Linked DNA regions of Lepisosteus oculatus. Each later gene encodes a partner of the first gene's protein in a complex. Links are inferred from orthologs where the notes say so. Each region holds a gene or a part of one and is shown in the gene's direction. Other genes may lie near its edges.

Region 1 (7,676 bases):
AATTGTATAGGGCTAATAAAGTGATCTTATCTTAAATAAGAAGAGGTCATTCAACCTATCTTGCCCATCTGGTTGCTGGGAAACTCCTCGCTCAAAGATCTCATTTTATGGAATGCACTTCACTGCAATACCCTCAGGTCTGATAAGAAAAAAACAAATTCTTTACCTTTTCATTGTAGTTGATTGCAATGACATCACCAGTCGTGAGGCAAGCGAAGTTCCTCAGGGCATTTTCTAACCTATAGAAGTGGAAGTGTCGTGAAGGAAACATGAATGGCGGAAAAATAACTTAAGAGGAACAAGCAATAGGTTTATTCCCTGCTGAAAAGAGAAGAAAGAAAACACAACGTTTCGGCCGTGGAGCCTTCTTCGGGTGTGAGATCTCTCTGGGAAGAGATCTTATCCCAAACTGCCAATTCTTGAAGGTTCAGGAAGTCTAGAACTGCTCCACGATTCAAAAGCCGAGTCCATAGCTGTCCACAGGAATAATTACAGCAATGTTGTCTGAATAAGAACAGATCACTTCATTTGGCCATATACAATTTCTTGTATCAGGAATTTGTCTTTTTGCAGACCCCAGCTTACTTTCCATGAGACACTTTGACAGGGAGGGAGAAGCTGGGGGTCAGAGCGCAGGGTCAGCCATTTATACAGCTCAATGGAGTAGGATTCCTCTCCCGGTTGCGGGATTTGAACCGGCAACCTCCCAGCCACAGGCGCAGATCCTTAGCCAGAGTGCCACCGCTCCGCCCAAGGAATGAATTGCCTGTCATCTTATCCAAAGGTATTTGCTCTGTAGGAATATTCTGTGGAATTACTCCTGTGGAAAGCGTTGTCATTTTAAGTAGGATCTTTCTCCAGGCCTTAGTGGTACTTGAACCCATGTCTGAAACTGGAAGGATACACTGCTTTGGGGTTGGTGATGTCGAGGAAGTCTGGGCTCTGGGGTTGGAACTTTGAGTACGTTGCGACCATGAGATTCACACTCTCCACCTGGACCAGACCTCCTTCCTCCAGCAAAAGATTCTGCATCATCTGAAGGAAAACAGGCCAAGCAGACAAATAAGTGAGGGCAGGAAAGGCAACCAAGTCAGCAGCTTTCATTGAATCAATCACCCAGCTCTTACTGCCTGGGCACAATCAATGTTCACTGTAACCATGCAACATGAAGCAGTTCTCGGGGCTTTATAAATAAAAGTATGCAAGTGTATGCTCTTTTACTCCAATTGCCAGATCGACAATAAAACCAACCCCTTTTACTTTAACAGACATTTTATAAACGTTCACCTACAGTTTTTTACTTTCAATACCCGAGTAAAAACATGAGAAAGGTTACAAATAAGAAAAAGCAGTGGAGCTGATCCAGCCTCTAGATTTCATCACTGACTGATCTGAGGATCTCCACCAGCTCTTTCAGAAAAGAACCCTCAGCAATAGCTCATGCAAACATGTCTCTCACATTGTTTGTTATGTCACATGACATAAAAAGACTTTCAATTCACACAATAAAAGCTATTAACAATACTATTTAATACAGATGATTTTAAAGCGGAATATATTTTTTCAGCTTTACCAAACAGAAATAGCTTTACCAAAGCAAAGTTACATATTTTATTAAAACATTTTAAGAAGGGGACACTCACCCAGTGAGGCAAGTAACAGATTCCTTCGTCCGCGACAAACTCCAGCACTCCGCAGTGCGTCATGCGGTCCGAGTTCTTATTAGTCAGCTTGAACAGCATTGGATAGGTGATGTTGAGACGACCTGAAGGAAGACTCGAGTTAAACTGTGCGTGCCCGACAAAGCAAGGCTCTTACGGATCTGTTTTCCAGACGAAACTGCTAGTTCTTCATTACCAACACAGACGCACATGGCAAACACAGAACATATTTTTATATATTACATATTTTGTCACTGGCGTACTTACTGAGCTGGTCCAGCGCAGATGGAGGCATTATAACTAGAACAAAAAAAGAACAACAAAAGCTTAGCATTGCTGAAATACATTTCTTTTACTATGCTACATTATGACATAATAAGGAACAGGTAAACGTTTTTTTCCTCGCTGAAAAGAAAAAAGTGAGACAAAGTTTTGGCTGTGGAGCCTTCTTCAGCTGAGGAAGAAGAAGGCTCCACAGGCAAAACGTTCTTTTTGCAGCAGGGAATAAACCTTTACCTGTTCCTTTGCAGCCTAAGCATCCTGCTGCAGCTCCCTACCTGAACTTATGACATAATGTCATATACTGTATCACATTTATATTATGCTATGTTCTGTGGCAAGATGTTACAGTGCAGTACAGCTGCTCAGCAAGCCTGTCAGAAACTGAGCTTTTCACCCTATTGGCGTTCTAAATGGGTGGCATCAAGCCAGCTGCCCAGACCCCACGCTGAGGACCGGGCGACATCTCAGGAGACCCAGCAAAGCCTCCCCTGCTCTTACTTTTCCCTCCTTTCTCGACGTCGGAGCGGTCGTTGGGCCCGGCCAGCATGGAGACGGAGTAGCAGCGGTACTGTGTGGAGAACCGGTTCTGGAAGGCCCGTGGAATCGGGTGGTCAAACATATTGAAGGAAAACTGAAATGAGAGGACAGAACGATCAGCCCCCAGAAAACAACAACGAAGGTTTCATCTCAATAGGTGTGGAGACAGCTGGTTGTACAGGTATACAGCGTGGTTCCACTCACACTTCTCTGACCAATCTGAAATCAACTTCAGCTCCAAATACTACTTTCAGAGATTCCATTCAGATCTAAAATATTTTCGCAGAGACCTGGACTGTCATTGGAGCTCCTGTCTTTTATTATAATAATAATAATAATAATAATAATAATAATAATAATAATAATAACTGCTTACACTTATATAGCGCTTTTCTGGACACTCCACTCAAAGGTCTTTACAGGTAACGGGGATCCCCTCCACCACCACCAGTGTGCAGCCCCACCTGGATGATGCACCAGTCCGCTCCCCACACATCAGCACTCAGTGGGGAGCAGAGCAGAGTAATGAAGCCAATTCAGAGATGGGGATTATTAGGAGGCCATGACTGGTAGGGGCCAATGGGAAATTTGGCCAGGATGCCAGGATTACACCCCTACTCTTTTCGAGAAACACCCTGGGATTTTTAATGACCACAGAGAGTCAGGACCTCGGTTTTACGTCTCATCCGAAGGAGAGCGCCTGTTAACAGTATAGTGTCCCCGTCACTATACTGGGGCATTAGGACCCACATGGACCGCAGGGTGAGCGCCCCCTGCTGGCCCCACTAACACCTCTTCCAGCAGCAACCTGTTGTGAGTTGCAGAGTGATATAGCTGCAGGCCATTTTACAGCCTATTGCCATTACAAATACAGGCACCCTGGTGTTGTTCTGCTCTCGCACAAAAAGCACAACTTTCAGACCTGGACCATGTGGGAGAATGTCAGGTCCTTCGTCAGGAAATGTGATTTATATAAAAGGAGCAGCATACTGGCTACTGCTTTTCCTGCTGACATCCCAGATCAAGGATGTCCAGTTATGGCTCTGGAGATCTACCCAGACGTCTGGTTTTCAGTCTAGAAACCAGGTTTCTTGACTGAGTTCATAACTGGCTTGATCAGTAATCAGGCTCTGTTGACTGAAACTCCGGGCTCTACAACTGGGGCAGGAGCACTCGATTTGCCTCTGCTTCTCCCCACCATCAGGTAAAAGGGCACCAGAGTTTTGCCCCCGTTTATAACCGCTCTTGGGGTGGTATCTCCCCGCAGGCCCGAGCAGCCCTCCCGACCTATTTTTTTGGTCGTCAAAAGCACGAAGTCAGTCCCTGGCAGATTGATGTCAACTTTCTGTTGCTGCTCAGGGTCTCCAAAAACCTTTATTCCATTCCGCCGCGGGTGCAACCCAAACACTGCTGTTCTCATTTACGTGCAGACAGAGAGGATGACACCTATCTTGATATTTACACCTACGCCACAACGCACAGGGCGGAACGTCGCTCGAAGAAGAGTGGTCTTTCCAGTGTTTACATCTTTATGTGAACTTGAGAAAATAAACTCGTCTTCAGACGTCTGCTGTCATCACGACGCCTGGTTTATTAACAAATCTGTCCACATCTCGGGAACTTGTAACAGTGACGGTGCATCTTTCTTTCTGTACAGCTCTGGCGCTGTAGTTCAATATGCGACGTATTAAACACAAAACCACCAATCCTTCTGTACTTACCATGATGAACTCTTACTCTTTAGGGTACGATGTTTAATGAAAACAAATGGTTTCAACCAAAGAAGAATAAAGTGAACCTACAATCGACCATCTCCTAATAGCAGAAGATTATTAAGAGGAGTTTGTTCCGTAACCGGGAAGTAAATAGTCGCCAAGGGAAGTGACCCGAGGAGAAACAACAACCAATCCCCACGTCGTTTCCAAAGTCAATAACCAATCATTTAACAGTACACCGCCTCTACGTAAGTGATTGGTCTAAAGTTTTGTTTTGACGTGACGTCACACCAATCCGCGTAAAATTCTATGGCGCATCGTCTACCTGTGGTGGCGAACCATTGGCTTGTTCCAATAACCTATCAGCGACGAGTAGCTGAAGGATCTTAACTCTGATTGGCTAGATCGATCTGTTACAAGCCAATAGGAAACAGGAGTCCATCAAACTGATTTGGCGCCAGGTTTTTAACAAGGAACGGAAGATTCTGTATCTCTGAAGGAGTTGGTGTATTTTAAATCAATTTATACGTTTGTACGAGTTATTTTTTAATTTATTTAAAAGGTCATTTTTATTTTTTTTTATTCCTAGTCGTCGATAGAAAGGGGTTTGGAAATGTTCGTGTCTGATATTCGGAAGGAGTTCTACGATGTTGTTGTGAATCAGGTAAAAAGATCCCTTTGTGTCGTAGTGCTCAATTATCGAAGAGAGACTATTAAACGTGAGGGTTTCGTTTTAACGCGGTGTATTGTAACGAATTCGAGAGGTATTAAGGGTATTAGTGCCAGTTAATGGTCTTCAGGAGTTCCATATTTATACTTGGGTGTTTTAGCAGACGTTGGATACTTAGTTTGCCTGTTTTTTCAGGGGTTGTCATAACTCGCCCAAAGAAAAACAATGTTGCACTATCTTTTTAGGGCGGCAGTTTAAACAGGCGACCGAGAGGGCGATTTATTTTTCTATTTTAATAGAAGGAAGGTGTTTGGTGTTATTTACCTTCGTGTTCCGTGTGAGTGTTTACATATGACATCTGTAGGTGTTAATAAAATATCGTCGCTTCATGCGAAGATGTGTTCTGTAATTGTCTTTATATTTTATTGTTGTTTTTCCTTTTTCAAGTGTTTTGTCTTCTGTGTTAGATCAGTGCCTGGCCCATGATCAGGTCGACGTTGGCAAAGTCAATCCGTCATCAAGCTGACTTGCTACAGAGCATTATTCTTCCATTATATACAGTGCATAGAAACTTAATGACAGGTGTAGCCTTGTATTTCCTCAATATAGTGAAGAATAGGAGGTCTAGGTTCTTTATTCGGGGCCCACACCAGGCCGGCCCGAAGAAAGCCGCATCCTCAGCTCAGCTCGGCCACAGATTTAATATTTTTTCTCTGTTTTTCCCCCCACCCGTGATCCTCTCCCTCCCTGTTTCTCCAGAGGGTCGCTCTCCTGGTCTCCTCGGACATTGACGCGCTGTGCGCCTGTAAAATACTGCAGGTGCGTATTTAAGAGTGCAGGAGCGTTCTCTGAGAAGTGTCCTCTACAAGGTGTTTTTGTAGACGTTATCCTCTTTAGAGCCTGTTTGAGAACCATATAGGGGAGAAAGAGTCCTTCGTCAGGAAACGTGCTTTATATAAAAGTTGCTGCATACTGGCTACTGCTTTTCCTGCTGACATCCCAGATCAAGGATGTCCAGTTATGGCTCTGGAGATCTATGATCTAGAGATCTGGCAGTCCATGCTCTAATAATGCGTTCTGAGTGCACCTGTGCGAAATCGGATTCAAAGCCCAGGGAAAGAAAGGCGAGATCCAAGAGTATCAATTTAGCTCATCTTTATTAAAGCAGTGTGGCGCAGTAATTGGGTACTGTAACACTGAACTTTGCAAGTCTGATCTCTTTCACTTGAGAAGCACGGAGGCCGTAGGTCAGTTGTTATCACGCAAGCGTGCACAGGGATGTGCTAGTCCTCACAGAGTGAGCCATTAACTGTTGATAACGGGCCAGGACAGCTGGAAACCCAAGAGTCTCCTTGGACACAAAGCGAACCGCGCTGGGCGTGAGTTACAGGTTTTGGACAAATAATGCCATGTCACCACCGTTCAATCTCAGGCTCCCAGGCTAACTCCTGAGCCAGCAGATCGCCCGCTGTAGGATCTGTGATCTGTCACTGTTGCCTTGCGGATCTTCTCGAAATGCAAATAGAAGAAAGAGTCCCAGTCCATCTCCCCCAATCCTTTCCAGCATCTGACACGAACTTTCAACCCGTCAGTCTGTGTGTGAATGATAAGGACGGGTCTTTATCGACGTAATCCCTAACTGCCGATGGAGGTGTTTCATCAGTTGGGAGGTAAATTTAGTTCCCTGGTCAGTCAGACTTTGTTCAGCCTGCACGGTCACTGACTTTGGCTTTTGATGCCGTTATTGGGCAGCTGGTATCCTGCACTATTTTCTCCAAAAGTCCAGTTGTTTCCACACTGAGGATGTTTCCGTGTTGCTCAGCGGACGCTGTCAGGTCAGGAGTCGGCCGCCTCCCGTCCAGGCTGCCATCGCTGAAGACGGGATCTCCAGACGAGGCCATGTCCGGAGGACAGAGCACAGGGCGATTCGGTGCCCTGCTCGGGGGGAGACTGTAGCAACTGTGTGGCTGAGACACGGGACCTGAGTGGGGAACCTCCCAGTCACGAGGTCTTTAAAGAGAAAATGACCTGCGTGCTGTTTTTCCTTTCAGGCTCTGTTCCACTGTGACCATGTTCAGTACACGCTGGTGCCAGTCAGGGGCTGGCAGGACCTGGAGACAGCCTTTCTGGAGCACAAGGAGCAGGTCAGGATCGTGGCATAATGCTGAGTTTGTGAGGACAGGGTGGTATTTACTGTGTTCTCCTATTTTAAAAAGCGGGATGTTGAGGATCTCTCTGGTGGTAGCTGTTCCTGGATGTTTTGCACCAGAAGTTGACATTTGTAAGGGATGAATGGGAGGAAACCTGTCTATAAACTGTAATAAAACTAACAGGCTACTGCGATCCTGGGTTCGAATGTGGGTCACGTCGCCAGCCGATTCCTCAAGTAGCACATACAGTTGAGTGGGATTAGTCACCCTGTCTGTAAAACAGTGCCCCTTTCTGTCAATGAGGGATGCGTACTGTGTTTAATCCCATCTGTCTCAAAGGTGGGGAAGTGGGAGGAGTCTGCCTTGACTTCCTTATTCTCCCCCGTGTGTGGTCGCAGGATTCATAGCTGTGAGCTGAGGTCTGAAAAACGTTAGATAAAAGCATTAGCCCAAAAATACATAAAACTCCTACAGTACATTACTTTTTATCAATAACATTCATTAATGTGTTTTAAAAAGTCAGAATTTTACTGGTAGCACAGATCCTGAATCCTGATAGGAGCCCGTTCCTTGCCCAAACGCATGGGCTTTGATGTCTTGAGTTTTTCCCCTGGGGTGCTCAAGCCTCGTCTTTGTGTTGCCTCGCAGTTCCGTTACTTTG
Region 2 (7,218 bases), on another chromosome or scaffold:
CGCCACCCAAAAAGCAGGGGGGGAAAAACTCAGAAAAGCAGCAGGATTTTCCCCTTTTTCACAAGTGTTGCTCAGTTCAGCGAACCATGACAACCGCAGCAGTCGGTATCCCTGCTCCCCTGCTACAGCGTGTATCGGTCTCAGATTTATTTTATGCCCCCGCTGTCGGGTCAGTGTGTGCCGCTCCCCTCCGCTCTCATGCTCGCAAGGTCCCCGAGCTTCTCCTTACATTGCTGGTCGGAGACAATAGAAGCGCTCACTGCGCATACGCGGATTAAAAGCGTGGAGATAGAAAAGGCAGACGCTTAACCGTGTCACTGCTGGGCATCCGCTAACAGCCGTCTGCTCTGCGTCTGGTAACGACTTCACAGCTAAGAGTTTTGGCGCGGTGGGGGGAGTCAGGAAGAGGACCGAGGATCCTATTCGCCGCAAGACGTACACAGACGATAGTTTCTGAAAACGGATCTCCAAAATCGTGGAGGGATTTTGGAGTGACGCCAGTATCCAACGCGTCTCGTATTGCGAAATCTTAGTTCTAAAAATAATTGACGAATCATTTATGTGAACCCGAGATCAGGACGCCTTAAACGACCTCATAGTTCTTTCCAAGAATCCATCAAAAACCCTTTGAGGATATATAGTTTATAAACATAATCACTGTTTTTTGTTATTTGAACATACTGCTTTGCCAGGCCTGGGACTGGGAGAGACCTGGTTCAAGGACAATCCTTCAAGGATAACAGGTTCACCCCATGTTTTACTAGGTGCAAAAAAGTGCAAATAGTAATTCAAATGAAAAGCACTGTAACTCTGTAAGGAAATACATATGCTTCACAGTCTTTACCTTTTAATGTTTCCACACAGTAAATATCCAGATTTCACATCTCTTTCTTGTGGGCAGTTTAAAATCATTTTATATGCTTTTTCCAGTCTGTGATTACGCTGTCCAGCAAGTACAAATGTAAAACACAACTGCTGTTACAACTAAAATTGACTTAAGAAAGTGTGTACAAATGTACCTACAGCCTACATTATATGAGAGCAAGCAACCCTGGTACATCCTATCCAGACAATTGCAGGACTTTTAAAATTTCCAATGAATTGTCTACAAATGGATTCCAAATTGTTTAATTATCCCAGGTACTGAAGATCACCTTGATAATTATGGCTTAACCGGAGCACAGGTGGCAAAGGCGACCAGCCTTGGCTATCTGAACAAACCATACCCATGCTTTACCCAGGAGGCAACATCTGTATCCAATTAATATCTCACACGCAAACCCCCTGGTAAACAGCCTGATCCCAGTTCCTCGCATTTTTCAAGTTCTGGAAATAGCCCACCCCCAATTAAACTAGGAATATCGGTCAAGAACACCCCCTGTTCCATGGTAGCCCCTCCTCCTCCCTAGCTTGGGCCTCAGACCACTTCCTCAGTGGACACTTAGTGTGAGTGTCAGGGGTGTGGGAGTATAATCATACTTCTATGGCCCAGCTGTCATTAACACAGTCGCAAATTATCTCCGACTGATCACTTGCTGACCCACTGGCTGCTGTGCTGTATTGTAGTTTTGCTGTGCAGCATCAGCACTGCATCAGGGCTGGGCTGTATCTGTGCTTTATGTTGTCAGTGCTGTTTTTTACCAGTACTGTGCTGTATTGAAGTGATACTGTGCAGTAGCAGTGCTGAATTTTATCAGTGCTGTTTTGTATCAGTGCTGTGTTGGTGCTGGACTTTATTGGTGAGGTGCTGAATCGGTTTTGTGCTTTATCTGTGCTGTGTTTCATTAATGCAGTGATGTATTGGTGTTGTGCTTCACTGCTGTCTTGTATTAGTACTGTTATGTAATGGGGCTATAGAGTACTTCACCAGTATCGTATTGTTTTTCTGTGCTTTTAAGAAATACCACAGCACAGACAAAAAATCAATGGGGAAACAAGAGAGTAGTGTAGGACAAACAACATTATGTAAGGAAGTAACATTGAATTAAAAATACTTACAGCACCACAAAGACCTATTGTATTAACATTAAGAAGATACTTACATCAATATGCAAAAACACTCATGGCTTTCTGCATTAGTTCATTAACTTTGATGTTTTTGAAACTTCAGTAGTCTTTTATATTGTGCATTTCCTTTCTGTTTATTTCTGTACCATTGCAGACCTTGTCAGAAGGGAAACTAGCAACATTGTCACCACTTGAAAGGGTATAAAAGTACCCCATTACCACTTATAAGCAATTGCAATACGTACACCAATCCCTGCAAAACAGAGCCTCACAGTGGACAAACCTGCAACTACAGCTATTAGTTCTTTTATAGACAGATATCATAGGTACTGTGGCTGTAGAGTATGCATGTAATCTGGAGACTGCACAAAACTACATCCAGTGGTATTGTAGCTTTAGATCTAATTTGAACCATAATTCTCTATTTACATTTGTTTGTGTTGTGACAGGCAACAGTGAGGGTCTGATCTGTGTAGCACAAAGTGGATCTATGAATGGCAGACATGTATATAAGAGCTACAAGTTCTAACAGATTTCTGCATACATTCTAGAATAAGGAGGTACTTTGTATTTTTCAAGCTAATGCTTGGCACCTTTCTGCACCACAGCAAGGAAGATCACACGGGACAATACAAAGCCATTGAAGGCCTTTCGTGACAAGATGTGGACAGCTCATGTGGCAGAAACAAACAAGGTTATGTTTCTGTAAAGTGCTGAAACTCAATGAATCATATAGCAATAATGTTTAACAGAAACAGGAGGGGAGGAAGAATTTTGGTCATTTAAATGTGTGATTGTTCTTGTGCAGTTCTGCCATAAAAGCTAGGCCGTGGTCTGTTCCTACTTTACTCATTCAATCATTTTACTGCTGGGCACGTGCAGCTTGTGCAAGGATAAAATGTCCTGCAAGACCGTGCTAAACAGCGGAAATAAATCTACCTAAAAGATGTTTCTCCAGCGTGGTTCCCGGCACCTTAATTGGAAATCTTCAACGTGATTCTAGCCTCTGTCCAGCAATCACAGTGAAGACCCTCTCAGTGTAAAGACATCCATACTTGTACAGGCGCCATTCTTCAGATTGCTGGAATGGCTGTGGCTGTTTATTTATAAATTAGAGAGATTGGGTAGCCTGTACTGAAGGCACTGAAACAGTGAGGTGTAGTGCAGAGCACTTTAACAACAACAGTTCGTCAACAGGGGCGGTCAGGCGCCTTGTGTGTGCTGTTCCGAATTGCTCCGTATTTGTCATAAAAAGGGATGTTAGAGTTACACCACATATTAAACACAGCCTTAAAAGGGGCCTTACAAGGGAATCACTCCATCCTTTCATTTTTTAAGGCAAGTCCACTGCAAGGCACACGCACACTCTCACCAGCTCCAAGTTACCAAGATGCAAATTAATTTACTGGACTGTGGGAGGAGTCTAGGTCAGCCAGAGGAAATCTATGCGAACATAGAGAGAAAATACGAACAGATAGCACCCCCCAGCACCAGAATGTCCTATTTATTGGGGTGCAGAAGAAAGGGTCCTCCCCTTGATCTGAAAGAAAAGGTGCCTGTGTGGTTCCGTGACAAGAGAGGACATGTCCAGCCTCCTGTTGCTGGAGGGTTTATTGTGCCTTGGAGGAAAAAATGAAATAATCTTGACTATTACTGGCCTGGTAGTCACAGAATGTACTGGTCTGAAAGCTTCATCTATTTCCCAGAATGCAATTCAAAGTGCAGAACTCTCTGCGGCCACTTTCCGATATCTTGTATTCTTTCTGAAGTTTTAAGTTTCTTACATGCATCTTAAATGCAATGGAATATCTAAAAAAACGTACACTGGTCGCTGAGTTCAGTTTTTATCGGCTACTTACATAAAACCATAAAAATACAACCATACTATTTGAGTTCAAAGTAAAATAATTGCACTTCTACAAACCTAATATAAGCCGAATCGCTGCCTGGCCAGGGGGCTATGCTACTGACTTCTGGTTGCTGATTATTGTTGTGTTTTTGTTGGAAAATGTATAAGACGAAGGATATTTGGACAATTTGAGATAATTTATAGTATTTCCGGTATATAATAATAACAACAATAACAACTACTTGTATTATTTGCGACATGCGTGCCTCGTCAGCAGTCTGAATTTGTAAACGCCTTCAGTGCTGCACTTTAGGTCGTCTCAGCCATCCGTCGGCCGGCGCGCTCGGAGCTCCACTGCTGCTGTCTGAGGGGGCGGGGATAGCGGCCCATTCAAAGCGCCGCGCCAAAGCAGATCGTCTTGGGGTTTGGGTTTGTTGATAAGTTTGACTTTCCTCACAAGCTGCAAAATAACTGCTTCGGAATGGCGACCCAATCTTATACGCCAGTGCCGCCCGGCGTGGGGATGGAAGATAATTTTCTTTCGCTCGACGACATTCTCCTTTCTCAAGAGAAGCTGCCGTGCCGGACTGAAACCGCCTTCCCCCGGCTGGGCTTCCTGGAGAAGTCCGGCGACACCGGGGACATCCAGGAGGTAAGCGAGAGAACCGCGTTGATCCCACAAAAACCGTTTAAAACAGTATTTAAACCCAAATCTGACCGGTATTGTAGCCATGTGCATTGTTTTAGCGCTCTGTGTTGACATTTCTATGAGGGGGAAGGACAGTGATCGGCCGTGTTTATTGCACATGATTGCCCGAGCTGTTCATGCTGTAAATGCAGTACAGTAAATAGCTGCAAGACATGTTGAATATGTTGATCAGGCGCTGGCACTGAGATACATATGAAATTGTACTAATGACATGATTTAATCCCGCACCTGTAATTTCTTTTTATGTACTCGTACAGTTGACCCTCGATTTAGAGACTCCGAACTTGCAGAATTTAAGCAGGGGGTCGGCCGCGTACATAGACCTCAGTGCCAGTCAGTTACAGGACGATCCTGGCGCTCTGTGTCGGATTGAGTCTTTGAGATGTTAGTAGTCAATATTTTTGACAAGCACGTTTATGTTTTATTATCCTCACCTTAAGGAAGAGTTGAAACATTGTACCAAAATTAAGCGAAATCGAATGAAAAGGTGATAGGAACTATAAACTAGGGAAGATTGTGAAATGAATATTTATTAGTGAGAGTTTTAAAACTTACGACAAGGTGATTTCATATTGATATTCTACTGATTGTTGCTGGGTACTGAAATTGGTTCAGACAGAGATCTTGGGAAGTTTAATTTAATCTTTTTCAAGGCCTTCTTACATACTTGTCCGACCTGTACATTTCCACGCCACAGTCTTGAGGAGAAATGTGGTTTGTGGGGGTTTTCCGAGCTCCTGGCTGTAGAGAGTGTGCAGCGCTAGATCTGTCCGGTGTCTGTCCGGTCCAGGGGACGAAGATGGAGATGCCCCTGTGGCTGGCCAAGGGCCTGTACGACTCCAAGCGCCGGGTGGTGGCGGTGGACCTGCCCAAGGTGTACCGTGAGGGCTGGAGGACCGTGTTCGGCGCAGACCCCAACGTGGTGGACCTGCACAAGATGGGGCCCTACTACTATGGCCTGGGCTCCCAGCTGCTGCACTTCGACAGCCCGGAGAACCCCGACATTGCTCAGACAGTGTTGCAGGTAAGGGGCAGGGATCATGCACACACCCATAACCTTGTGCATCAGTCATGAGAATGTTGCCATGGTGTCTGAAATGCAGTTTTCAACAGTAACTAATGCAGGGAGTATATTTGCATTATTGCATGAGCTATGCACTTCAGTTATTGTTGAAGGTGTGACACTATACTGCCCCAGTTTTAATATCCTTGTTTTTAATGATAAAATTGCATTCTGCAGTATTGCATGTGTTCGTTTGGGTTGTCTGTGGATGTGCATGTTTCCTCCCGTAGTCCAGAGACATGCTGTCTGGGTTAAATGACATCTCTAAAATAGACTGTATGCAGTACTTGTATGTGGCGTGTGATGGACTGGTATCCTGTTCAGGGTGTACTCCTGCCTTGTGCCCTATACGTGCCAGGTTAGGCGTGATCTGCAAGTTTAAAGCAGTTACTGAAAATGAATGGAACTCACGATGATGAATAATTCAGAACAACTCTCAGTGTAAAATGTCCTCTGACTGCTGCCTATTCTGAGTTATTCCCTGTGACCAATTTACATCCGTCGCATGATTGCAGAATAAACAAAATTTGAAATGCTTCCCAGGAAAAGGATATCTAGTCATTTTAAAACAGCTTTGTGGGGAATCTGCAGCCTCGGGATGCCCTACAGGGCAAGACTGCCCTTCAAGGACCTGAAAAGAGGTCCTGTTGGTGTGCCTTTAGAACAGAAGGTGGGAAGCACCTCTGTACACAAAGAGTGGCGGGTGTCTGAAGGAGCCTGGTTACTGGGGGCCACTCCCTGGGGGAGGTTCAATACTTTTGTCAATGATAAAAAAAAATATTTTTATCAGATTTTATTCTAAATGAGGTAAATATCCTAGTGGTCCCGTAGTATTTCAAAGCAGACCAACGACTAAATATCCCCTGAGAAGGTATAAGGGACAGAAAATATTTTAATTCAAATACTTTTCATAAAAATAAATTGAAATGGAGTTGATATAAATCACCCAGCCCTGCCTGGGAGTCTTCAAGATGCAGCCAGGAGAGACCCTTGGACTCGTGATCTCCAGCAGCCAGTCGAACAGGGTGGGCTCTAATGCCTCCTTCGTTTTTAACCTTATTTCTTCGATCCAGCGAAGGCTTGATGATTGAAGTAACCTTCAGCAGCAGGGTTAAAGAAAGACGTTTATATAAGCATCACCTTAACTGCCAGGATGAGAGCTGAATGGGTCGAAGGGAAGAAACTGCATTTGCCTGTACTCTGACCGTGGTCCCCAGGGCCTGCCTGTGGGAGACCAACAGTCTAATAACTGTCAGTTTTGTAATGAATAAAGCTTTACAATTCATTCTTATTGGCTTTGGCTGAGGTTTCCAGCACTTACATAGCAAGTGTCTGTCTGTTTTGGGTAAGAATCTCAATGCTAGGTATGTGTAATAGTTCACTGATATTCTGTGAACAGATTTTACCCCACTCTGTGTCATTTTCTAGAAATTGTACTTCTGTGATGTTAAATGCACTGCATTTGATCACCTGTATATTTCCACTGATTTATATACAGTATATTAGAAGTGCAAGGTATGCCTTCACAATTTTACAGGCTATTTTACTTCACAAGAGCCACCACAAGATGGCGCCACTTCAGTACACTTA
Region 3 (6,973 bases), on another chromosome or scaffold:
AGGCGACGCTGACTAAACAATGAGTGTTTAGAAGAGGCCAGAAGCAGGGGTACCCGGTATCACATCTTCAGTTTTAATGTGATGGAAAGTAATCAGGTTTCTATTGAAATAACAGGTATCCTTCAGACAGCTGTGTATGTGGAATCACGGGCGTGGTGAGTCGTAGTTTCTCATGGCTGTTTCTGTGTAAACTTGTGATGTACTGCTGTTCGGGTGCAACACTACTGCTGTACTGCAGTGGCATTAGTAATTAATAGTTAAAAGACTATATTGAAGGGATTAATTAATTAAAAATGGTTATTCCGGTAATGTGCAGATTCAGATGATTAAGACAAGAGGTAGACTAATTGTATTCCTGAAATTACAATTTACAATTAATTTTTTTTTATTTGATAGCCTTGCCTGTAAATTAGATTTCCTAGTGTGTATAAGTCATGTTGTTCCTAGAACTATTCTTGAGTGCTTCCTGTCCAGGTTTAGGAATAGCATTTGTTGTTAGAATTCCATCATGTATGATGTTTAAAATTGTATTTCCGAATCAAAATTGTCATTGCATTTTTTAACCTTTTAACCAGACTATACAGAAAACTAAAGTAGTCATTTTTGACTTATGTAAATGCTGCTTTTGACCATTTCCTTTGAATATAAAGATTGACCTGACTTTTTAGTCTATTAGACTAGCACATGACCACAGGGAAATAGATCTTTCTACTGAGAACCAGGAAACGTGAGTGGAATCTTTGGTGCATCATTTCATTATCTTAGAAGACTTAATTGATACAAATTCTTTAAAAAAATCAGTCATTTTTATAGTCCTAAGCATCATAACTGTTTCACCTGAATTACGTAGCTGCAGCAATTGGCACCACAGATTCGTCTAAATTTAGGAAATTGTTTAACCTGTTTTTTTCTTTCAAGTTAAATGCTAATTTTAAAACACCACAGTTAGATACATTTTTGTTGTGCTAGAAGAATTCTTTATTGACCTTCCTGGAGCTTCTCCCATTCTGTGTGCTCCGGAGGTGGCTTTGGGAATGCAGCGCTGAGGAAAAGGTGGAGCGAAATGAATGGGGGATGTTTTCTGTGGTAACGGCCTTCAGACAGGGGGCCTGACAGGACAGCATTGTCCATGGCCATCACTGTGGACACACAAGAAAAATGAGTAATTAAGGAAATTAACTACAGAAGTGTGGAATTTACTACCAGTAATGATAGTCTCCATTTACTCTAAACTGTAAAAGCCATCTCTTCCATCTCATCATAGGTCATCACTTCAGTTTTGCCAGTGAACATTATCTACTTAACGGTTAACTAGTTATTGGCCAGATACTTCACACCTGTCCCCAATCAAATGCTGGCATCATGAACTGTGTAATTTGCAGTTGGCAGGCTGGTTCAAAGTTTTGTTTTAATCTGAGCTTTTAGCTCAACATGTGAACAGCCATGTTATCACATTGATGTGAATGTCTACAAGAAACATTATTATCCAGAGTGATAATTCACAATATGCACAATTCTCTTCAAAATGCAATATTTCCTAAGATCCTTAAATAGTATGGGTATGTATCAATAGTTATCATAACCAGCATGAAAAAAAAAACAGATTTCTTGGACTAATAGCTGCAGATGAGGACAGTCTACTAATTTGTGGTACAGTATGTCTGCCAAAGTCATTTAAATGTAATAGGCATGGAAATGCTCAGGATTTTTATCTTATAGGATTCATATTCATTCTGGACCCTGAAAAACTCAACAAGATGTTGATTTTGAACTGTTTGAAGTTGTTGAAGCCTTATAAAATATTTAGTCTTGTGTTTGAAAACCTTAGTGTTATTCAATTCAATATTCAAATGGTCTGGGAGCCATTGGTTTGCTAAAAATAATTTAGAAAATGTTTAAGTTTTGTGTGTTATAATTTATATGCATTTCATAACCTCAGAGTTAATCCCATGTATTGTAGTCTGGTATTTTAATTCCCAATTGCTGTATAAATCTGATAAAGTCCAATCGTTTTATCTTCCAGATCAGGTTTTAGACCACAGTCATCTTAAAATGTAAATTAGAACTAATAAAATGTTTTTAAAATCTAGGTTATTTTTAATTTTTTCTTTATATGATATACCTTGTAATTTGTTGAGGTGCTGTAATTACAGACTACTAATTAAAGCAAGATGCATATTTTTAATCCTAAAATGTTAAAAATCATTGAGCATCAAAAAAGCGCTTGGCTTTAATATACTATTTATGCATGTATATTTTTAGAAAAATAAAGTGTATGGATTTTAGAGAAAGATGAAAAGCTTTCTGCATCATTGAGTTTGACCAGGTGGGCAGCACAGTAGTGCAGTGGGGAGCATTGCTGCCTCACTGTGTGGGACTGGGTGCTCTGTGCATGGAGCTGTATGTTCCCCCATCCTCGCATGCCTTTCCCAGACATGCTGGTAGATCAGCTGACTCCTGGGAACACCGGTCCTGCTGTGAGTGCGTGTCTGTCTGCCAGGGTGTGCCCTGCCTCATGCCCATTGCTTGCTGGGACCGGCTCCAGCTCCACCGCGACCCTGTATTGGAAGAAGGTGGTTAGAAGATGGATGGATGGATGATTAATTCACTGTACTTTTGACCAAGTTACACTAAATCACCTTATCAGTGAGGTGAACCAATTAGGTACAGGTAATGAAGTAATTAAGAAAGTCACAGAAAGTTACTAATATACTCCACACATTAAGAGAACAAAACCTTAATAATAATAATAATAATAAAAAAGACTGGAATAAGTGAACTGTTGCTTACCATCCAGTAACTTCTAGTCTGACAAGACAATACAGCCAAACAGCCTGTCAAATGCAGGCCAAGACACTGAGCCAGGAAGCCTTGTTAGTATTGATAGGGCAGTCCAAGTCTGATGATCTAGCCAGAAATCCCTAACCATTGGTCTGGAGAGCCAGAGAGCCACATTCCAGCAGGCTTTATCAGTAGTATTTAATTAATCCATTTCTAAAGGCCTGGAAAAAGTTAATTATGATCAATTAAAAAGGTGGTGTTCAATTAAATAATACAGAGATCATTTATAACAAAAATGTCCTTTCCAAAATATTGCTACAAGCAGCTCCTTTTTTAAATAACTGGTTAATTAGCATTTAAGGAGCTGGTAGCTCTCCTTTAGCTGCTACAGAACTCTTGAAGCGAGAGATGGAAGTCTTACTACACAGCTCTACACTGATCAAGCCTGGGAACATAATTTGGGTCCCTTGCTATAGGTCACCCTGACAACTTTCCAGCGTGACAAGGCACAGTCATCGGTGCACCTTTAACAAGAGATTTCTTGTAAAATGGGAATATGTTATGATTTGTCCTGCTGGTGAGACATGATAATTTGAGCTGGGATGATGTAGTGTCTGGGGTTATTTATCCTGTTTGTAAATGAAGCACAAAAGGCAAATATGTCTAAAAAAGCAACCGCGTTCTACTATAACGTTCCCGATTTTCTTTATCTTAACATTAGGCCAGTTAGCATCTTTTTTTTCTGGACAATTCTCTAAGCTACAGACGTGACGGGCACAATTAGGAGAAATGCCCAGGCTACCACTTGAGTAGATTAAAGGGTTTTCACCATTATCGCTGTATAACAGGTAGGTTTTCAAATAATTTTCAACGCGACGCAAAACTTTGTTTCGGAGATGAACAAATATTTATTAAACGTACTAAGATGCTGAAAAACTCAATAACATAAAAGTTATAAACATACAATTATGTTAATAGTGACTATTAATGATAAAAACGTAAGTCTGAATAATTAAAAAAATATGATTAACTTCACAGTAACCTATAATTAACATAATATAAGTTTGAATAGCTAAGAGTTTCCACGGGTAATAATCGAAATCGAAGGGCTGCTACAACAGGAGCCGGACTTCCGGTTCCCCCGTGACTGCCGACAGTAAAAACCTTCACTTCCGGGTCACAGCGTCATCGTCAGAATTCAGCGCGGGAAACTTGTCGGTAGACTGTGGTAGCTGGTGAAATATAATTTAAAAGTCTGACTTGCGGATGGATCCTTCAGAGGTAGAGTTCTTAGCTGAAAAGGAGATGGTGACCATAATTCCGAATTTCAGTCTAGACAAAGTCTATTTGATTGGGGTAAGTACATAAATGAAAGGGCGTAGCAGTGTAGTTAAGAATGCATCTGTATTGTGGTGTAGAGTATCCGTCCGGTTAGATACACATTTGACAAGCAAATGACAGAACATCTCTTTACGTATTCTTTTTGCTTACAGTAATAATAATGATAGACACAAACTACGTGAAATAGCTACAGTTAATGTAATGATTCCTTCTTTAAATCAATCGAGATTAAAGAAACCCGTATGTTTGTAGAACGCGATTTTAAACCGGGCTGAAGCGAGTGAATTTAAATCAAAATGCGAATTTGGGACGGTCGAATCACAGCTCTGTCAATTTTGACATGTAAAATTGTTTTGATTTTAAGCGTCAATAGTTCTTATTGTCCTGGTAGGGGGACTTGGGTCCTTTCAACCCCGGTCTGCCCGTGGATGTGCCTGTCTGGCTGGCTATCAACCTGAAGCAGAGACAGAAGTGTAGAATCGTGCCCCCCGACTGGATGGATGTTGGTGAGAACAGCTAATTTGTCCGGTTATGAAAAGATGGATAGATGCCACTGGATGTATTTGTTTCCTTTACATGTTAGCCTTTAGAATGCATTGCAGTTAATTTGCTCTGTCCACTTATTACTTAATGTCTTTCCCTTGTAGTTCATCTGTTATTATTAACGTGTTTAGTCGATTCTCAGTTAATAATTCCTTAGACCTACAATTTATAGCTTTTCTGGATACTCCACTCAAAGCGCTTTAGAGGTAAATAGTCTTCTCCACCACCACTGGTGTGCAGCCCAGTGTGCTGGATGTGACGGCAGCCGGAGTGCTCCAGTACTCTCCCCACACACCAGCTCTCAGAGGGGAGGAGAGCAGAGTGATGGAGCCAGTTCAGAGAGGGGGGTTATTAGGAGGCCATGACTGGTAAAGGCCAGGGGGAAGTTTGACCAGGACACCAGGGTAACACCCCTATTCTTTTTTGAGAAACTGGGATTTTTTAATCACAGAGAGTTTGTACCTTAGTTTTACGTCTCATCTGAAGGATGGCACCTTTTTACAGTTTAGTGTCCATCTGTCGCTATACTGTGGCATTAGGACCCACACAGACCACAGCGTGAGCGCCCCCTACTGGCCCCTCTAACGCCTCTTCCAGCAGCAACCTCAGCTTTCCCAGGAGTCTCCCATCCAGGTACTGGCCAGGCTCACCCCTGCTGAGCTGGTTGTCAGTTGTGAATTGCTGGGTGATATAGCTTCTGGCATAATAAAGAGATCTCTGGTATTTGAAATCTGAATAGTCCATCCATCTTGTGTCCAGATATTGTCTAAATTAAATTAACAATTGCCTCTGACAGATTGGTAATAATGAGGATTGTGTATCTCTAGTCTCAGCAACGGACAACTCTGTATTGCTTGTTTTAATCAGTTTAATAGGGAGACTTTATAACTCTGTGTTTACCAGAACAGTTTGAGATAGAATGGGATTTTAAAACCACATTCAATTGAAAGACATTAATGTGTAAATGCAGCTTTATGTCTTTTTTGAGATGTAAATTTGCTCCTAATGCCTGTGTCCCATAAAACCTAACGTGGCGTTCAGCTTTGGAATGAATCTGTGATGGTGCAGCTGGTCATGCTGTCTGCCTTGTTTGGGGGGTTAGCTGTGAGAGAGCGTGTTCAGTGTCAGCCCTTGTCTCTACTGCAGAGAAGCTGGAAGAGATCAGGGAGCAGGAGAGGAAAGTAGGGATGTTCACCCCTATGCCCAGTCCATACTACATGGAGCTGACCAAGTTACTGTTGAACCAGTGAGTATCGCTGCACTCTCGACCTGTGACACAAGACCCTTCCTACTCGGTCATGAAGCTTTAAAGAAATAGCTTTTCCTCTTTGCTTGAGCAACATGCAGTGCCAAGCTCAAGTATTCATTCCTTTCTGATGTAGTATGTATGTACGTTTATTTTAAACCGAATGTTTTTCACCACAATTTGAATACACGTAATATTTTGGGTAATGAAAGCTAAATATCAGCAGAAACTGCCATGAAAATTGGAGACTACAATCTGTTGACTTCACGAATACTCACCCCCTCTGTCCCGATGCTCGGTGAATGCTGTGAGTCTCTGCCAGCTGTGCACACTGGGCTGCTGCAGTGTTTGCTGTTCTTCCCTGGAAATGTGCTTGGCCTCGGTTGAGCTGCTTGGCTGAATGACCGCAAGTCTTCAAGTTTTCAGTCAGACTCAAGTCAGGATTTTGGTGGGGTCGACCAAGGACATTCAGTTTCTACTTTTGCCACCACCCTATAACTTTGGCCTCATGCTCGCGAAAGGTGAGTTTTGTGTCCCAGTGAAGAACATTAGAACTGTTGCAGAGGAGAGGAGATTATTCAACCCATCTAACCTTCTTGTTAGTTTGTAATTGATTGATCTGAGGATCTCATCCAGCCCTTTCTTCAAAAAAGCCAGGAGATCTTCAACCATATGGCTGGCTAGCCTGCTCCAGGCTCACGCTATCCTTTGGGTAAAGATGCTCCTCCTCTAAATGCACTTCCCTGCATCTTGCACCTGTGGCCTCTGGTTTGTTTCGCTCTTTGTGCTGGAGAAGTCCACTGGGCCGAGTGTGTCCGGGCCTTTGATGATTCTGAATACTCGTGTTGGGTTCCCTCATACCTTCTTTGTTCAAGACCGATTTGCATAAGAAACAAACAAAAACAGTTTATTGAATCCTTGCTGTGATTTGAAGTGGCATGTGGGATTACAGAAGGTTTAAAGAAATATAATTTTCAGATATGTTTTTCAAGAGGAACACACGTGCATCTTAAGACTGCAAGCTTTCATTTGTCTGCCCCCGTAACTGTCCTTTAAGCTCTG
Region 4 (7,536 bases), on another chromosome or scaffold:
CTCGGTGTTTTACATTAAACTACAGGGCTGGGCAGCTGTGTCTGTGTCCCGTTCAGCTGTAGGACTGTGAAAATGCCAGAGGCGTTCGGGTGACCGTGCTTGACGTGACGTTAGTGAAGCAACAGCTGTTGCACGAACTCCGTGTCGTGGCCGTGGGCTCCGCAGCGGCTCCCGGCTGCGACCCGGATGGAACTCGGAGACAAAGAGTTCAGCGCGAGGCGCACATGGCCGCGGGGGGAGGGGCGACCTTTAACCCCGGCGGACGCAGCGGACGGGCCCGCTGGGTTGCGGGAAGTGCCGACGGCCGGGCCTACGCGTTATACGGATGCCGGTCGTGGGCGATGTGTCCGTTTTCGTTTCCTTCTCGCCAGTTTGCGGAGCGTTCTCGAAAGGGCGCCTGTAGGTCCTGTGATGGCTTCCTGTCCCGTCCCGTCCTGCTTGTACCCTGCACTGCTGAAGCCAGGCGGGACAGCACGTTCAGAGAGATGGGCTTTGTACAGGATGGGCCGCTGGCTGTGCAGTGTGCGCTCCAGGCAGCTGTGCTTCCTATTCCGGAGACTAGGAAGACAGAGACTCTTGCATCTTGAACAGGAAGTTTCAGTTCCTGCCTTCAGCATAGCTACAGCACAGCTCCTTGCCCAGCTGGTCGGTCTGTTTCAGATGCTGAAGGCGTGGCACAGGAACTTGCTGATTACAGCTCCGGTGTCCCAGGTTCGATTCTGGTTTGTTGGGGCCTGTCTGTGTGGACTTTGCATGTTCTGTTTAGGTTCTTGAGTGTTGGCCAGGTGCTTCAGTTTCCTTCCAGCTCCCACAGAGATCTGAGCTGTTTCACTAGATCATCTGAACCATCCCAGGGGGAGATGCCAGAGGCAGTTCGTGCTGGGGACTCCAGTACTGGCTGCAAGACTACAGAGACACAGATCTAGTTCCAGGAGGCTTTCTGATCCGAATCAGTTGGTGATGATGGATCAGATGAGCCAAAATGTCTGTTTTTACTGCCATTCCACCCATGTGAAGAAATGGGAACCAGCTTCTCCACCTGGTGCTGGGGCAAACCCCGGAGTCTGGGTGCAGCAGGTGTCTGGTCACCCTTGTGTATGGCCATGCCTGTGTTCAGAGTTGCAGCGGGGAGGCAAAGGGCAGAGTTCATATGTGAAAGGTCACAGCGTTTGGGGTGCTGCTCAGGGCCTGCTGATCGCTGGCTCGTCAGTGCCCAGTGAGGGAGAAGGTTCTGTGGCGCTGGCTCCTGGACCTTGAGCTAGCGAGGCAGCACCAATGCCGATTTGCTGGCAGAGTGGCTTTCCAGGACAGGCTTGGAGGAATTTAGATTTCGGGATTGGGAGCATTTAAGGACGGGGCTGGCTTTGGAACTCTCTGACCTGTCACCTATCATAGGCTGTGCTGTGTGTGAGCTGATAGTACTGATGTCAATGTAATGAATGAGGACCTGTTGGAAACGCCCCCCTGTCAGATCATGGGCCAACCCAGTCAGGCTCCGCTAGTGTTCTGTCCCGGGTTCAAACCAGCAACATCCAGGCCACAGGCCTCATCCTGTGTTTCAAGGATCCTGCTTGTTGTTTAAAAGTAATTTAACTGCTGATCTGCTCGACTCCTGCCTCAGACCAAAGGAACTGTGCAGGACGACTGAACTGTTTCAGTTGCATTACTATGCAGGGCCCTGCTCAGCCTGCTGTGGCTACTCTGCTATAGAGAGCAGAGAGCTGCGACTCTTGTTTTCGGGTGTGGGGTGTGAGACTGGGGGACAGCTGTGGGCCTGGCCTGCAAACTCATTTCGGAACGGCTCTCAGCTACAGGTGTGAACTCATTCTTGATTTGATTGTAACATTGAGCATCTCCCAGCTAAAGAGATCTGTCAGACCCGAAGGGCTCTGGACCCCTAGGCCTGCAGGAGGTACCACTGACTTAGGAGGACCCTTTAATCAGAAGAGGTAGCATACTGGGGTACCTCAAGAACAAATATTGATGCTCTGAGAAACTGAGGGTAAATGTGTTTAAAGTCAGATGTGCCCAAAAAGTATCCAAATATTTCACAAAAGGTTTGATGCATTTTTAACCTACTTTTATTTGTAGTAGAATAACAACACTTATTCTTGCACATCACTGTTGTTGATAAGATCTTTCTCTTTTTTTTCTCAGGACACGTAGTCTCGGACCCTCTCTGGTCCAGTGAGCTCAGTACATGTTTACCCAACCCAGATGAACTACAAAGTAGCTTGTATTTCATCTGAATGTATTTGCATTAACATTATTTTCACAAACTAGATCAGTCCCTTTCACATATTTACACCCAATGACGGCACCACTGAACACCACAAGCTGAGAAATCATTACTGAATCTAGATTTCATCATATGTGAAGCGAAATGGAACAGGAGATTGTGAAATTGGTCATCTTGGGAGTTCCCTTCTTCCAGATGGAAAGATTGTTTTTATAAAAGAAATCCCAGAGGGCATGTATATTGACAGTTCAGTTAATGAGGTTGTAGTCCGTTAGTGAAGTACAGTAGCCTTTTCTGGGTACAGAGCAGCAAAACATGAGTAAAATATTTAAAAAAACATTTAACTATACTGAATTACCTCAGATCTCTTCTCTTAGTTGATTAGATATTAAATAAAAAAGGACATTATTTTACAATATGTACATCTCACCAAAGTGCACATTGTTTATGGAAAAGTAAGAAAATAAGTTACATGACAATTCTTAAATTCTTATTCAGGACACCTCAAGTCAAGGTTGTTGGCTGAAGCTGTATGGGATTATTGAAAGTCATAAAACAGGACATCATTTTCTTTCAGTGGGTAGCTGCGTCAGCATGCGTAGGCTGCAAAGGAACAAGTAATAGGTTTATTCCATGCTGAAAAAAAGAAGAAAGAGAACACAACGTTTCGGCCGAAACGTTCTGTTCTCTTTCTTCTTTTTTTCGGCATGGAATAAACCTATTACTTGTTCCTTTGCATCATTTCCTTTACTCTAGGATACATTTGCATGAATAGCTGAAAACTGTGTACATTATTGAACCTTGCAAACGATCATTATGCGTTCCTCCTATTGCTATATCCAGTTTTTGTAAAAGCTAAACGGCAGAATTCTTTCCCAAGCCTGCGTACAGCGAACACAAGAGCTCCGTGTGTTTTCCTTGTTGAGAGAGTTTGTTCGCTTCACTTCATTGTGTCGCACTCGGCTCCGGTTTCCACTCTCCTGCTTTCGGTTTCTGCGCGACTGAGCCCTCTCCCGTCTCCAGCCGCTTGGCTCGACTCGTCTTGCCTGCCTGACGGACCTGAGAGACCGAGCGAATCGACCTTCCGAACCATCTACACGGGTACATCTGCGGGTGGGGGGGGGGTGCCGCCCTGCGCCTTGCTGGGGTTCGGGACAGGTGACGGGGTGGAGGCAGGCTTCTCCAGGCCCTGCCCAGGCTGAAGGCTGCCTCCTCACTACGGCTCTCCGCTTCACTGGCAGCTGCAGCTGGGTAGACTGGGAGACCCCAGCACAGGTACTCTGTGACCCCTCTTCCAGTTGTTTCAGGTGATTAGACCAAGTTTTCAGCTCGGAGCTTTGTAATGTCCCTGCCTTGAGAGCGAGCATTCCTGGTGCTGGAGGCAGGTCTAATGTCTGAGTCTAACACCAGCGCATGTGCTGGACTGTACTCTGGGGGCTCCCTGGTCCTGGGGTCCCCCAAACCTGCAGCTGAGCTCCTTCCCCGACCCCCGGCCCACACTGGGCTCCTTCTCGGAGGCTGGAGATTTTAACCGCATTAACTTTGTTAATGGCTGGATGGCGCCTTACTGCATTTAGGAAACTTACTACGTTTAGGAATGAACCAGAAAGAAATCAAATTAAACTTTTGTTGAGTCTATTCGTTATGGGTCTCAGTTATTTAATTTAGAGTTAGGGTTAATTGGAGCTCTTGGATTTGTGCTTTATCGTCTTGGAGACCGCCTTTCAACAACCGAGTTTCTTACGCAACCTGAACGAGACTTTCGATTAGGAAGCGGAGAGATTCTGGAGACGGGTGGAGTGGGCAGGTGTGTCGTGCTCCAGCTGCCTCTCTGCAGCGGCGGGGTCGCGTCTCGGCCGCTGCTTTTGTTTCCTGGTGGAGAACCGCGCCAGGCGCGCGCGACCCCTGCTACGCGACCCCACCTCCAGGAGTCTGGCGTGCGCGCGCGCGCGCGACGCTCGAGAGCAGCTGCGCCTCTGACGTCACGCGTCGGGCTCTTTGGCGGGTGATGACGCGCTCGCTGTCGTGAAAGGCTCAGCACGCAGAGCGGCCACATCCGCCCGGAGTGGAGCAGGGGTTTGTAGTGCAGTGTGCGTGCGCGTAAGGGTGTGATTCTCCTGCGAACTTGATTTTTCTTTCCCGGATTACGTGGCGCGAAGGGTCGGGGTGAGGCGAGGGAGGCCTGAGACGCGGGGGTGGTGGTCGTGGTTGGTGTGATGTTTTCTTGGATGAAACGGGGAGCGGGCACTATTTGACGCGCGGAGGGATCGCGGAAGCCCCGCAGGGGGTGGCGAGGCCGAGCAGCCATGTGCTTCTTTGTTTACAAAAGCAGGAGTGAGGAGACGGCGGCGCGGCGTGGGGAGCAGCGCCGGGAAGGAGCCCCGAGTCGCGGCGAGAGCTCGGTGCCACGGGGCCGCCCTTGTCCCCGGCCGGCCGGCCGGCTGGGCGGGCGGAGGAAGCGCGGCGAGGGAGGTGCCGGGCAGCCGAGCTCCGTGCGGCGGCCGTGGGGTGGTTTGCGAGTTCGGCGACCGCGCTCCTGATGAAGCTGCAATGTCTGAGGTCCGCGTGTGTGTTTGTCCCGGTGTTGGTGGGCTCTCTTCCCTCCCCGATCCGAGTTCAGGCTCAGTTTTAAAGACGGAAGAACGGCCGTGGATTGGAGTTCGTGGGCGCCATGTGCGGCACTGTTTACTAGTGGACATCGACTCCCTCTCCAACAAAGAGATCAGCGCGGACACGGGTGGGGAGGTCCTCGCTGTCCCTGCGTGTGGGTGTTTTTTTTTGTTCCGCGGGCGAGCTCTGTTGAAAGCTGCCGTTGCGGGATTGTCTTTGTGAGTCTAGTTGGGCTGTTTTAAAACCGAAAGTGAAATGAACGGGTGAAAGCTGCGCGTGGGTGGCTTCTCGTGGTAAATTTCCATTGGTAGTGATGGTGGGGGTCTTCTGGAGACGCGCAGTGGAGCTTTAAGATTGTGAGGGTGTGTATCCGAGGCTTCGCTGAATTATTTCGTCCGGGGGATAATCTGAGACTCGACATTTTTTGACAGGCGGGCTGTGTTGTTGACATTTTAATTATGAATAAATACTGTTTAAACTAGTGTTTATGTTGCCTGCTCAATGCACGGCGCCGTTCAAGTTTGTACTACTCTAGAGTAGTTAACAGGCAGTCTTGTAACTTTTCTGTGGACTTGTTCATATGGAAACCTGCCTATGTAGATCTTATTTTCAGAAACACTTGTGCCGCGAACGCGTTGTATTTTAGTGGACATTGTAATTTGTCCACGCAGAAAACTTAAATCCAGGTCTGTGATATTAAAAAGATGTGTGACTCCACTGCATGTAGGGGATCATTTTCCGGGGCGCGCAGAGGAGCAGTCTCTTGAGTTTGTGAACTGAAGGTCCGTGATTTCGGTTCAGTGGGAGCTGGGAGCAGCGGTAGCGCTGTAGAGTGGAGTGTCACGGGGGAGGGGGAGGGGAGGTCACGTGCTCTTGGTTTTGTTTACAGCTGGAGCGGTGCGCGGATTGGCTGTCACTCAAGGCCGACTGCGCCAGCACGAGCCGCTTCCACGCGTGTACCCTGTGGCTCCTCTGCGCGGTTTTCCGATGTTGCGTTGTCAGCATGCGTTTCGCCGCCGCCGCTACTCTGTGTCGTGTGCGATAGCGGTTGTGTTTTGTGAGTTGAGAGCTGTGCTTTCGGCAGCACTGCTGTGATGAGTTTGCCTGTCTAGGCTGTCCAACTGCCCAGCATGGTGTCATGATTTAGGGAGGCCTATGTGGTTAGCATGGGCGTCCTCGAGCTGTGAATGCTGGACCCTCTCTGGAGCCAGCAGGGTTGGAATGTCAGAAAGCGATGGCACGTGAGCTCTGCCAGCCCGATCGGACAGTTCTGGGGGGCTCCTGTGCGTGGAGCCAGCGAGTGTCTGCAGTGTGGGGTGGAGAAGCCTGGCCTGCTGTGGGCTGGTCCCGTCGCCTGACACCAGATTAGTGGTCTTCAAGATTAAAGGCTTAGAAAGCTGTCCGGGGCCCTGCTGGAGGAGAGGCCGCTGGCGGCGGGGGGAGCTGGGCCTGTTCACAAGGCCTGGTCCTCTGCGTCCCTGTGGAGGACCTGTTGATCCAATAGAGGCGTTCAGAGCTGTGCCGCACGGGTGTATAGTGATGCCAGAACATGTTCGTGTGCCCCAGCTGTGTGGTGTGGCTTCAGTGTCTCTCCTTCGCACTGACCCCACTCTCTCTGTCTGCTTCTTTAACCTCTGCAGCAGTGCTGGAAAATCCCTTTTGGCTGGGACACAGGGTAACACTCTTCCAAAATTGCCCCCAAGAGTTCAGATCTGCCCCTGCCTCTAACCCACAGTTAGTTTTCCAGCCCTGAAGTCCTGCCTCTGGTGAGACAGGGTTTTCAGAAAGTACTGTGAACTTCGAATTTGAGTTGTGATGCTGTCGTGCAAGGCCTGAGGCCACGCCTGCTGCTTTCTGTTTTCAGTCCTGCCAGACAAGTGTCATGATTGCATTTAAATGCATTTTAAAGGTTGTGTCTTGTCTTCCTCCAGAGAAGTGCAGGAAGTTCCTGCAGGAGTTCTACACTGAGGATGACGCTGGGAAGAAGGTCTTCAAGTACGGCGTTCAGCTGGTGAGGGCTCGGGGCGTGGGGATGGATGTGGCCGTCCACGGCATGCTGTACAGCTAATCAGGATTAGCTGTTGGAGCGCGTGAACTGTGTCCTGTCTGCTTAGTCTGGGGCTCCCCCTACCTGCACTGGCAGCCCTGTGTCCCATCTGCTTAGGTTGGGGTTCCCCCTACTTGCACTGGAGCGTTGCCTGAGTGGAGTTGTCTCCTGTGACCTTTACGTGCTCTGCTTTGGTCATCAGAAATGTGTTTAAATTTGACAGCCGTGAGATCCACATCTTATTTACCTGGAGTTGGGGAGGAGGCAGTCCAGGGCCCCCCAGAGGCTTCCTTTCCCCAACTGGGGTTTTTTTCTCCTCTCCCCTTTGCCCATATGATCTGCAGAACTTGTTGAGTACAATTGAACTGCAGTTGAACAGTTTTTCTAATGGAGGAAGCAGCAGTGCGTTACTTCCCCTTGATCTGGAAGCATGTTCGGTGCTTGCTGTGTGGCGTGTGTTTGGAGCAGTCCTGCCTGTGCGTGCCTCAGTGCCCCCTGTCCTTTTCTCCCTCCCTCTCCAGGTGTCGGTGGCTCACAGGGAGCAGGTGTCCCTGGTGATCGACCTGGACGATGTCGGGGAGGAGGACCCTGAGCTGGTGGAGAGCGTGTGCGAGAACACGCGCCGCTACGCCGGCCTGTT

What was found.
Region 2: cdc45 (region 1) and gins3 share a complex: the UniProt entries of both Homo sapiens proteins name them as parts of the CMG helicase complex. The link is inferred for Lepisosteus oculatus from reciprocal best matches to the Homo sapiens genes CDC45 and GINS3.
Region 3: cdc45 (region 1) and gins2 share a complex: the UniProt entries of both Homo sapiens proteins name them as parts of the CMG helicase complex. The link is inferred for Lepisosteus oculatus from reciprocal best matches to the Homo sapiens genes CDC45 and GINS2.
Region 4: cdc45 (region 1) and mcm7 share a complex: the UniProt entries of both Homo sapiens proteins name them as parts of the CMG helicase complex. The link is inferred for Lepisosteus oculatus from reciprocal best matches to the Homo sapiens genes CDC45 and MCM7.

Annotation. Positions count from the first base shown.
Region 1 is NC_090717.1:1,234,179-1,241,854, reverse strand, and holds the start of cdc45 (cell division control protein 45 homolog), read left to right. Parts: upstream 1-4,657; 5' UTR 4,658-4,808; coding exon 4,809-4,859; intron 4,860-5,624; coding exon 5,625-5,684; intron 5,685-6,916; coding exon 6,917-7,009; intron 7,010-7,663; coding exon 7,664-7,676. Other genes in the region: ufd1l (ubiquitin recognition factor in ER-associated degradation protein 1), read right to left, coding at 167-239, 905-1,035, 1,644-1,765, 1,929-1,961, 2,442-2,574, 4,202-4,204. UniProt on the Homo sapiens protein: Required for initiation of chromosomal DNA replication. Core component of CDC45-MCM-GINS (CMG) helicase, the molecular machine that unwinds template DNA during replication, and around which the replisome is built.
Region 2 is NC_090715.1:12,071,764-12,078,981, reverse strand, and holds the start of gins3 (DNA replication complex GINS protein PSF3), read left to right. Parts: upstream 1-4,203; 5' UTR 4,204-4,337; coding exon 4,338-4,508; intron 4,509-5,355; coding exon 5,356-5,589; intron 5,590-7,218. UniProt on the Homo sapiens protein: Required for correct functioning of the GINS complex, a complex that plays an essential role in the initiation of DNA replication, and progression of DNA replication forks.
Region 3 is NC_090715.1:16,818,917-16,825,889, forward strand, and holds the start of gins2 (DNA replication complex GINS protein PSF2), read left to right. Parts: upstream 1-3,968; 5' UTR 3,969-4,047; coding exon 4,048-4,137; intron 4,138-4,513; coding exon 4,514-4,628; intron 4,629-5,811; coding exon 5,812-5,911; intron 5,912-6,973. UniProt on the Homo sapiens protein: Required for correct functioning of the GINS complex, a complex that plays an essential role in the initiation of DNA replication, and progression of DNA replication forks.
Region 4 is NC_090698.1:12,412,653-12,420,188, forward strand, and holds the start of mcm7 (DNA replication licensing factor MCM7), read left to right. Parts: upstream 1-4,526; 5' UTR 4,527-4,789; coding exon 4,790-4,976; intron 4,977-6,780; coding exon 6,781-6,860; intron 6,861-7,417; coding exon 7,418-7,536. UniProt on the Homo sapiens protein: Acts as a component of the MCM2-7 complex (MCM complex) which is the replicative helicase essential for 'once per cell cycle' DNA replication initiation and elongation in eukaryotic cells.